Daphnia pulex: one gene and its partner. The protein of the gene in region 1 binds, or shares a complex with, the protein of each later gene. Links are inferred from orthologs where the notes say so. Each region holds a gene or a part of one and is shown in the gene's direction. Other genes may lie near its edges.

Region 1 (4,419 bases):
CTATCAAACTAAAATGGCCCTGATGGTAAATCACTTTTATTTACCCGCATGATTATTATGGATTTACATGTTGTTTTTTTCCTGTTTAGGAATTTCTTCCTATGAAGCTGATGTTTCATGTCCATGCTATTCATTTGACCTTTGGTGTCAACGAGCGAAAGTTGGCTAAACGTTTGGACGTGGCGGTCAAGATGGAACCGAGCACCAAACCGAGCAGCTTTCTGCTTCAGATCATCAGTTACGAAAAGAATGCAGGTATGTATGCTACACAACCGTTAGCCCAGTCTCCCATCATTTAGTTTGTGACTGTTGGTCTACAGGCAACATTTATGAATTCCGGAGACAAATCCTACGTCTTCCCAATCCCAACGGACTATCCCCCATCGGATTCCCGCTCAGCTTACCCAGAGTTCAAGAACCCGAACGTACTTTTCGTAAGGAGTTTACATTTTTAAGTATTTTAGGGTCTAACTAATAATGAGGTGGAAAAATTCTATCCTTCGACTTGATCCTTTGAAGTTCCAGCAGTTGGGAGTCGAACTGTTATACAACAACCTCGCTTCCGTGAAACCACTGAAGAGGTTTACCAATCGGGCGGTCAAAGAGCACACTCAAAACCTTTGCTACCATCTAGTGGGTCATCTTCGAGACTATTTCTTAATAATTTGAAATTTTTTTTTATCTCATTTGGTTTTCACGTGTGTTGTTTACTTCACAGACGAAAGTGTGAAGATGCCGGCCTGCACTTTAAAATTTGACAAAAACTCATATCGCCAACTATGCCAGATGCTGAAAGAATCAGATCTATTCGAATATTGTGGTTAGTTGGAATATTATGATGAACAATCGAAAAATTTTAAAATCTCAAATATCATATGTCCTATTAAATTGCTTTAAAATTAGAACTATTTCTTGCAAATGAGGTGGATCTGGCCATGTTCACTACACTGTCTGATGATGATCTGAAAAGCATCGGAGTAACCGCATACCGCCCACGAAAATTGATGCTGCATGCAATATCAGGTGACTTGGTTGAATTTAAAAAGATCATCTCTTCGGGTTTTTTTTTAAATTATTATTCTTTAAAATCTTGTTCGCTTTTTTAATGTTTCTTTTTCTTTTAAGAACTGAAGAACTTGCCAATTAGCTGTGCCGTTGAAGAAAACTCGCAATTTTGTCAGTTGTAAATTTCACCATGCGACGGTTTTACTAGTTTTGACACAGAACATCTGTATCCTGATTCCTTTCGGACTGCAATAGTTTTTTATAACTATTCTCTCACGTTTTATGCGCCGTTGTGCAAGCCCTTTTTTTTATTAATTTGTTTGACTGTAATTCGGAGGAAAAAATGCTTTTCCGCCCTTGATTCTATCATGAGTCAAGTTAACGTTTTTCATTGAATTTTCATGCTGCAACCTCTTGTATATCCAGACGATTATCATATATAATAAACACGAAACATTTTCATAAAAGTTTCACACTATTCTGATTGATTTTATTGCTAATGGTGGACTCGGTGCCCGGAAACACTCGAATAGACAGCGAAGGTTTGGATGTCGGTTAGCATCAACCTTGGCCTGTTGGCAAATGCTGACGACAGAAAAATATTAAACGATCAAAAAGGTTATTTTTTATTGTTAAATAGGTTTCCCTTATTTCTTAAGAGAAATTTCTGTTGAATTCTTCAAGGAGATTAAATTAATTATGGTTCACAAATGCCGGTGGTTTACGTTTTGATTGAAGTAAATCGATTGATCAAGTTTCACTTCCGTGTACTTTCTTCAGCACTCAATCTGTTATGGCCGTTTCAAAAACAAACACCGACTCTATAAGCTTATTATCGAGTGGGAGTAATTCACCAACATGGAGAAGTTGTAGTTATTGTCTTAACAAAATATTCAAAACATCAGCAGAATTTACAAGGTACAATACAATTCATTTCAGCAAGTTATAATTAAGTACTTTTATTTCTAACCTTGTTTTGTAATAAATCTTAGACACTTGAGAGATGATCATTGTAGTCAGGAAGGTGGCTCATTTGTTTGTCGGTATGGCTATAATGGAGTATGTACATCATTACCAGTTGAAGGGGTGAGCGATAGAGACTACGAAGACCATGTAATGAAACACCATGCTAAAACACAGGATGGAAAAGATGCAGGTACATTTTCTGCATTATAAATGTGATAACAATTTAATAAACTGTTATGTGCTACACAGGCATTTTGTGTGGGATGACACCTTCTCCGCTTCAAGGGCATCTCTATAGATTAAGCTTGCTGTCAGATGGGCCAGCTTGGAATGTCAATGCAGCTTGCCAAAACATGGCAGCAATTTTAAATGATCCAAAAAAAGGGAAACAGAAGGATTTCTTTACTAGAACATGGGGGGATGGATTTGTAGAAAACACTACTATTCCTGAAAGTCTCCTACTACCCATTGTTGATGAAGCTTATTTCACACCATACCTTAAGAAAATTTCCAAAAGATACAAAAAGTCTTCGAAAAAGTCCAGTGTAACATTAGCAACTGAACAAATTACAACAAGATCAACACTGAAACCCATTGGTAATCCAATTAATTCAGTAAATCCTTTTATTTGAAGAAATATTTTAACCAAACTTTTTGTTTTGAACAGATGGAAATGAGGGTGACTTGAGTGTTATTCCACAAACTTTCTTGCAGCCTACATTTAACCTAAGCCAACCAGATACCTTTCACAAAGTTTTCCCCTTCATCAAAGAGTCAGGATTATCGCACGTTTTGGGAACGGGGAAAACACTCCAAGAAAAACTGAGCTATTATTTGGACTTGATAGAGATGCAAATAGCTCATCAAATTTCCCATAAATCGGAAGACTTCTTCCAGGCTGTTGCTTCGCATGATGCCGTACGGGAGGAATTAGGCAAAGCGCTGACGGCGGTTAAAGCCTTAAGACTCAAAGTCAATCATGTTGATGCTACGCATGTTCAGGGGTCGTTGAAAGGTGTGTTCAATATCATTAATCTAATTATTGAATTTATTCCATTTTTCTTTAATTCCTCTCAGTATTACAACGGCAAGTTGCTCGACAGAATTATGCAATTGTTTATCGTAAACTAAAACTAATGGCGACTGTGCATCAAACCCAGCCGACTATACAGCTTCTCCTCTCTACTTCTGATTTCGTCGGCGCGTTGGATCTTATTGGGACCACACAAGAGGTCGTACAACAAGAACTGATGAGCATTCACTGTTTCCGTTATCTGAGCTCGCAGTTGAAAGAAATGGAGAATCTTATCGAAAATTTGCTTTCAAACGAGTTTGAACGCCTCACTACCGCCGAACTTAATCGACCCCTCAAAGAAGATGTATTAGTTACAGAAGAAGATAGATTGACTGCTGTTCTCTACGGCATGTTACGACAGAGGCGTTATAACTTCATTGAATTATTTAAAGGTACTGCTTGATGCACTTTTTGCTAGTGCCGATGTGACTGATAATCATTTTTCCATTTTAGATGAAGGATTGACCGCCATGAAAGCCTTGATGAAACAAACTATTGTAGAAGCTCTTGCAGCCAACGACACCGACGTTGAAAGAGGTTCTATGCTCTACGAGCAGCTCAAGCATTTAAACTTTGTGTCATGGACCAATTTGATGCAGCGATGTATGACAAGTTTGAAAGCTCTGCTCAACCGCATTCGTGCCATTCATGACATCATGGCCCTTGTACTTGCCACGGAAACAAGCCGTCAAGAAGAGGTATTTTTCTTTTCGGACATCATTTAAACAAATGACTGAATCATTTTTGATATTGCAGGTTGTGGTAACTGAAGATGATAGACAGAGACTACAGCAGTCATTAAAAGAAATGATACAGTCACTTTGTGATTCTGCACATGATCAGTGCGGACGTCTTTTATCATCGCGTACCAAAGATGGTGCTTTATTAGAAAGGGTTTCTTCCCAGGAATTTGTGGCTCTGGCAAAACTTATAGAGACTTTCGTGTTGGATTGTCACAATATAAGTGGACACAAATCCATGGGTTTGAGATTAGCATTTCAGGTAATAATAAAATTTCGTGTTTGTAATGCTGAATAACAACACGTTTTGTTTGTTTGTTCCAAAGGGTCAAGCTACGCGTTTCGTTCAAAAATTCCACGAAGAACGTCGTTCTAAATTGGGTGCTGTCTTGGACAGTGAACGCTGGAGGCAGGCCGAAATAACACCGGATATCCAAGCAAATGTTGACACCTTTTTCCGTTCACCTAGACCTAGTGATGCTACTGCCGCCCCATTCAAAAGCCACCCTGTTTCAGAAACGATTATAGTAAGAGGCGAGTCGTACGTGGTGGTGGGTGCAGCCTTATTCTTTCTTCCTCAATTGTTGGAGTACTGCAATTGCGTGGACAATCTTCCGACAGCTGCGCCAGATT
Region 2 (4,292 bases), on another chromosome or scaffold:
ATTGTTGAAGGGGTTTTTAGACCGCTTTTGTCTTGCAATTCTGCACCAAGATTTAAATTTGAAACATTTTCCATCAATTTCTTCGGCTTTTTCCTATTTTTTGGTCCCAGGGTTTTCGCGCCCCTAACTTCACGTGAAGCGGCTAAATCTGCATCCACACACTGAACTTCCTTTTCAGTCACTTTTGAAATATTTTCTTTGAGTTCACTGGCTGCAGCCAAATTTTTTGGAGTAATAGGCTGTTCGTTTTGCTGAATGTTTGGTGAACTCGGACTCTCAGCAAAACTTTTTTCACATTCTTTGTTTGCAGTTTGTGTTGGCAGCATCTCACAAACAACAATATCTCCATTAAGTGCTCTGTTTCTGTGCAAAATTCCTTCAATCAGAAAATCTTCGGTTCCATCCTAATACCATTGAGATTTGTTCAGTTAGTTCTTTTGAATATCAAAACTTGTGAAAACAAATTTGCAAGCAATACTTACAGGTGCAGAAATGTATGCCTCTTTATAGTTTTTAGGATTGATTCTTAAAACACCCTATAAATACAACAAACACAGACAGTTAAAACATTACATCAATTAATTCTGAATATAACCAAAACCTACTTCAAAAAGGGACTCATTCCGTAATCCTTCTTCAACATCCTTTTGGTCCCAATAATTTTCAAAAGTTTTACTACGATTGGGTCTCTGTGGTGTGGAGTTTTTACCAATTGACTTTGCCATGATTAATTTCTTGTATGGGCAGATTATGTATAGAACTTATCATCAATGTAATTAAGAAAATGTAGGAATAAATGCAAATTGGCAGATCAGTATACAAATGTCAGTTATTGCTTTCCCTCTGTTGGAACCCTTATAAACTGGTTACTGACCAGTGCTAAAAATATTGAGTTAAAACCTTTGTCAGAGGTTTGAAAGTCATAATAAATCTCAACACTCGTCAGATTACAACCTGATTAACAGTTGACGAAAACTCTTCCACAAAATGTTTTACTTTCTTGGAAGCATGCAATGAGCAAAGATTCTCACTCTTGTCGTGCAAAAAATAGCCGTACTATCTAGACTTCAATCGTTGCTTCAAATTTGAGTAAAAAAAATAAAAGTTTCGAAATTCAGGGATATTCGGCTGACGCTAATATTTTCAAATGAGAAAGATAACTTTAATGGAAACCCTAATCTCTGGGAGATATTCACAATTTTTGCATCTTACTCTTGCACAATCTCTTTGACAACAAGCAGACGATATTGGTCGTCTGCAAACAGCTGAGAGATTTCGTCACGATTCCAGACAAGCCGCAATAACAAGTTTGTGTCAGATTTCGGTTAAAGCCGTTAAAGCTGATTAAAAACATTTAACAGCCATGGAAGATCATTGCGACTCTCAGATAAAAATGGATTTAAAAGTTAGTCTCAAGGACAGCATAATAAAAGAAGCTCTGAATTCGGGTGTAGATTTGAGACAGTATTCACAACAAGTAGAACAACAATTACAAGAGGTATACATTTTTGACATGTTATGAGTTCAGCTAACCAACTTCCTCTTTCCAGGTTGAACTAGTGTCTGTGCAAGATTATGTCAATCAGGGAACATCATTAGCACAGCTTCATTCACAGTTCACCCAATGTGATGTCGCTCTTGAAAGAATGGAAGTGCTTCTAAGTACCTTCAGATCTCAACTAGGTGGTTTAAGCAGTGATATTTTACAACTCCAGCACCAATCAGCTCAGTTGGGATTACGTTTGTCTAATCGACAGGCAGCTAGATCCTTGGCAGGACAAATAATTGATGATTTGGTAATTCCTGAAGCCCTGATAAGGTAAAATTACAAAGTACATCTATTTGTCTATGTGTTGTAATTTTTAAAAATTTAACATTCTTGAATAGACATCTACTTGAAACTCCAGTGACAGAGCCTTCGTTCTCTGAACAGTTGATAATACTTCAAGCAAAGTTGGCTTTGAGTGGTGATCACCATCAGAGGTGCAGTAGAGCTGCTCAAGTGAGTAGGCCTAACCATATAGTTTGAGTTTGTGATTTAAAAAAAATGTCTAATATTTTCTACCTAATATTTTATGCATTTTAAGGATGTGGTTCCTGTCCTAGGTGCATTAAGGATTAAGGTGGTTGAAAGACTTAGGCAGTTTCTGCTTTTGAAACTACAACAACTTAGAAGGCCACTTGCTAATTATCAACTACCACAGAATTCTCTTCTAAAACACAAGTAAGCCTCTGGGTTTTCTTTCTGGATTCCAAATACAATTCACATTTATGTTTTGTTTCACTAGGAATTTTTACCACTTTCTCATAACCCAAGAGCCTGAAATAGCTTATGAAGTGAGGCAAGACTATGTGCAGACAATGTCAAAGCTATATTTCTCTTATTTTAAGGTTCGTGTTTTGATTTAAGAAATAATAATAATTTGTTTGGATATAAATTATGATTTTTTCGTCTATATTCTCAATTGTTTCTTGTTCTAGAGCTACTCCACGCGATTACTGAAACTTGTGGATTCAAATAGTGTTAATAAAGATGATGTTCTTGCTTCCGAAGATGCATCGTTAGGTGCGGCTGCTGCTGCCGCCGCAAGGTCCTTGTTTGGAAGAGCCGCTCCTAGTGGGCGTAGTTCTAGCAGTAAATCTACGGTTTTTACCTTAGGTAACCCCAAAAATTCTTTCTTGCAATATATTTGCTTATTTTTTGCTGTCTTCTTTTTTTAAAATAATAGGAACTCGAATTGAAGTTGTTACAAACTTAGAAGCCCCTGTTCTAGTTCCTCACGCAGCTGCCACTGGTACCAGCGCTGGCCATAAAGGTGAAACGAAATATTCGTATGAAATCGTTTTCCGATCTCAACACTACGCATTGGCCGATAATGCTTGCCGCGAGTATTTGTTCCTCTGTGAATTTTTCCACGTTGAAAGAGCCCCTGCCATGGAGCTATTTCAAGAAGTAATGGGGAAGACCTGCACTATTTATATGGTAAGTTTACTATACACAATGCGCAGCATATTATTCCTTTCTAGCGTCATTTGTTTTTTTTTTCTTTTTAGAAATTTGTGGAAGAATATGTTTCGTCTTGTTATGACTCACTTGCCCTTTTTCTTTGCATCCAAATGGTCCAACGTTTGCAATATCTTTGCCACAAGAGAGCCGTTCCAGCTTTAGATTTTTATTACGAATCTCTCGTCTCCACGTTATGGCCTAGGTAATACTGTTAAATTTAAATGATTTGTTGACTTTTTTCTTTAATATTTGCCATATTTCTTAGATTTGAATATTTGGTACAAGCAAACATTCAGAGTGTCCGTGACTGCGATCCATCTAGACTTTATTCAAACATTGATACGCGACCACACTATGTATTTACCTTAAACATACTTTGATTAAATTTCTAAACTAACGAAAAAACATTAATAGGTAGTGCGACGATACGCCGAGTATACTTCAGCCATTTCTGCGATTCACGGTTAAACACTTTTTTTCCTATTGCATTAATTCTTGTGTCGTAATTTTCTTTATTTTGTATAAAAAGAGCATAACAGTATAACTTCAGCCATGGACTGGACTCCACGCCTACACCATTTACTTTCGACCATGCAAGAGGAGGTTGAAGGCTTCACGTTGCGCCTTGCTGCAGCCTTTACTAAACGAAAGGATCAATTAGTAGCCCTAATCAACAACTACGACCTGATGCTGAGTGTGATGACCGTAATATAACTAGATTTTAGTATTTTACCGAGTTTCTCAGCTTATGTATTAAAACTTGTTGTCTATTTATTAAGGAGCGCAACCGAGAAGAAAGTCGTGAAGCCGCTCGGTGTAAGGAATTGCTGTCTGCTAGAATTTCAGAATTTGTCGAAGAAATTCTTTTTTTCCATTTTGAGGGACTCGTCCGATTCGTCAAAGACTGCGAAGTCATGCTTACTCGAGGGCTTAACGAAGCGTTGCGGAACGAAGAACGTATGCATTTTTTAAAGTCTTTAATTTTATTATTAGTTTTGTCTCTCGATATATAGAATTGTTCCGTTTCTCTTTAATCGGCTTAAAGGTCGGGCCACGCAAACCATAAACGCTTTCATGGCTGGATGGAAGAAATCTTTGGACGAGATTAATAAAGAAATCTTAAATCTGTTTCCGAATTTCAAAAACGGAACCAACATTCTACAAGCGACGTTGACTCAACTCGTCGAATACTACCACCGTTTCCAAAAAATCCTAACCCAACATCCATTCCGCAACGTTCCTGCTCGTGCTGATTTGATTAACATTCATCAATTAATGGTAGAAG

What was found.
Region 2: vacuolar protein sorting-associated protein 54-like (region 1) and vacuolar protein sorting-associated protein 52 homolog share a complex: the UniProt entries of both Caenorhabditis elegans proteins name them as parts of the golgi-associated retrograde protein (GARP) complex. The link is inferred for Daphnia pulex from reciprocal best matches to the Caenorhabditis elegans genes vps-54 and vps-52.

What each region holds. Positions count from the first base shown.
Region 1 is NC_060017.1:2,977,938-2,982,356, reverse strand, and holds the start of vacuolar protein sorting-associated protein 54-like, read left to right. Parts: upstream 1-1,517; 5' UTR 1,518-1,623; exon of another isoform or gene 1,624-1,689; 5' UTR 1,690-1,798; coding exon 1,799-1,923; intron 1,924-1,997; coding exon 1,998-2,161; intron 2,162-2,220; coding exon 2,221-2,568; intron 2,569-2,638; coding exon 2,639-2,986; intron 2,987-3,048; coding exon 3,049-3,438; intron 3,439-3,499; coding exon 3,500-3,744; intron 3,745-3,802; coding exon 3,803-4,048; intron 4,049-4,112; coding exon 4,113-4,419. Other genes in the region: protein bicaudal C-like, read left to right, coding at 1-25, 90-255, 321-434, 520-633, 719-820, 904-1,023, 1,126-1,187. UniProt on the Caenorhabditis elegans protein: Acts as a component of the GARP complex that is involved in retrograde transport from early and late endosomes to the trans-Golgi network (TGN). The GARP complex facilitates tethering as well as SNARE complex assembly at the Golgi.
Region 2 is NC_060027.1:4,799,470-4,803,761, forward strand, and holds the start of vacuolar protein sorting-associated protein 52 homolog, read left to right. Parts: upstream 1-1,347; 5' UTR 1,348-1,363; coding exon 1,364-1,498; intron 1,499-1,550; coding exon 1,551-1,819; intron 1,820-1,887; coding exon 1,888-2,002; intron 2,003-2,087; coding exon 2,088-2,224; intron 2,225-2,288; coding exon 2,289-2,391; intron 2,392-2,481; coding exon 2,482-2,659; intron 2,660-2,729; coding exon 2,730-2,983; intron 2,984-3,054; coding exon 3,055-3,209; intron 3,210-3,272; coding exon 3,273-3,363; intron 3,364-3,421; coding exon 3,422-3,470; intron 3,471-3,536; coding exon 3,537-3,712; intron 3,713-3,786; coding exon 3,787-3,964; intron 3,965-4,052; coding exon 4,053-4,292. Other genes in the region: DIS3-like exonuclease 2, read right to left, coding at 1-404, 483-536, 606-725. UniProt on the Caenorhabditis elegans protein: Acts as a component of the GARP complex that is involved in retrograde transport from early and late endosomes to the trans-Golgi network (TGN). The GARP complex facilitates tethering as well as SNARE complex assembly at the Golgi.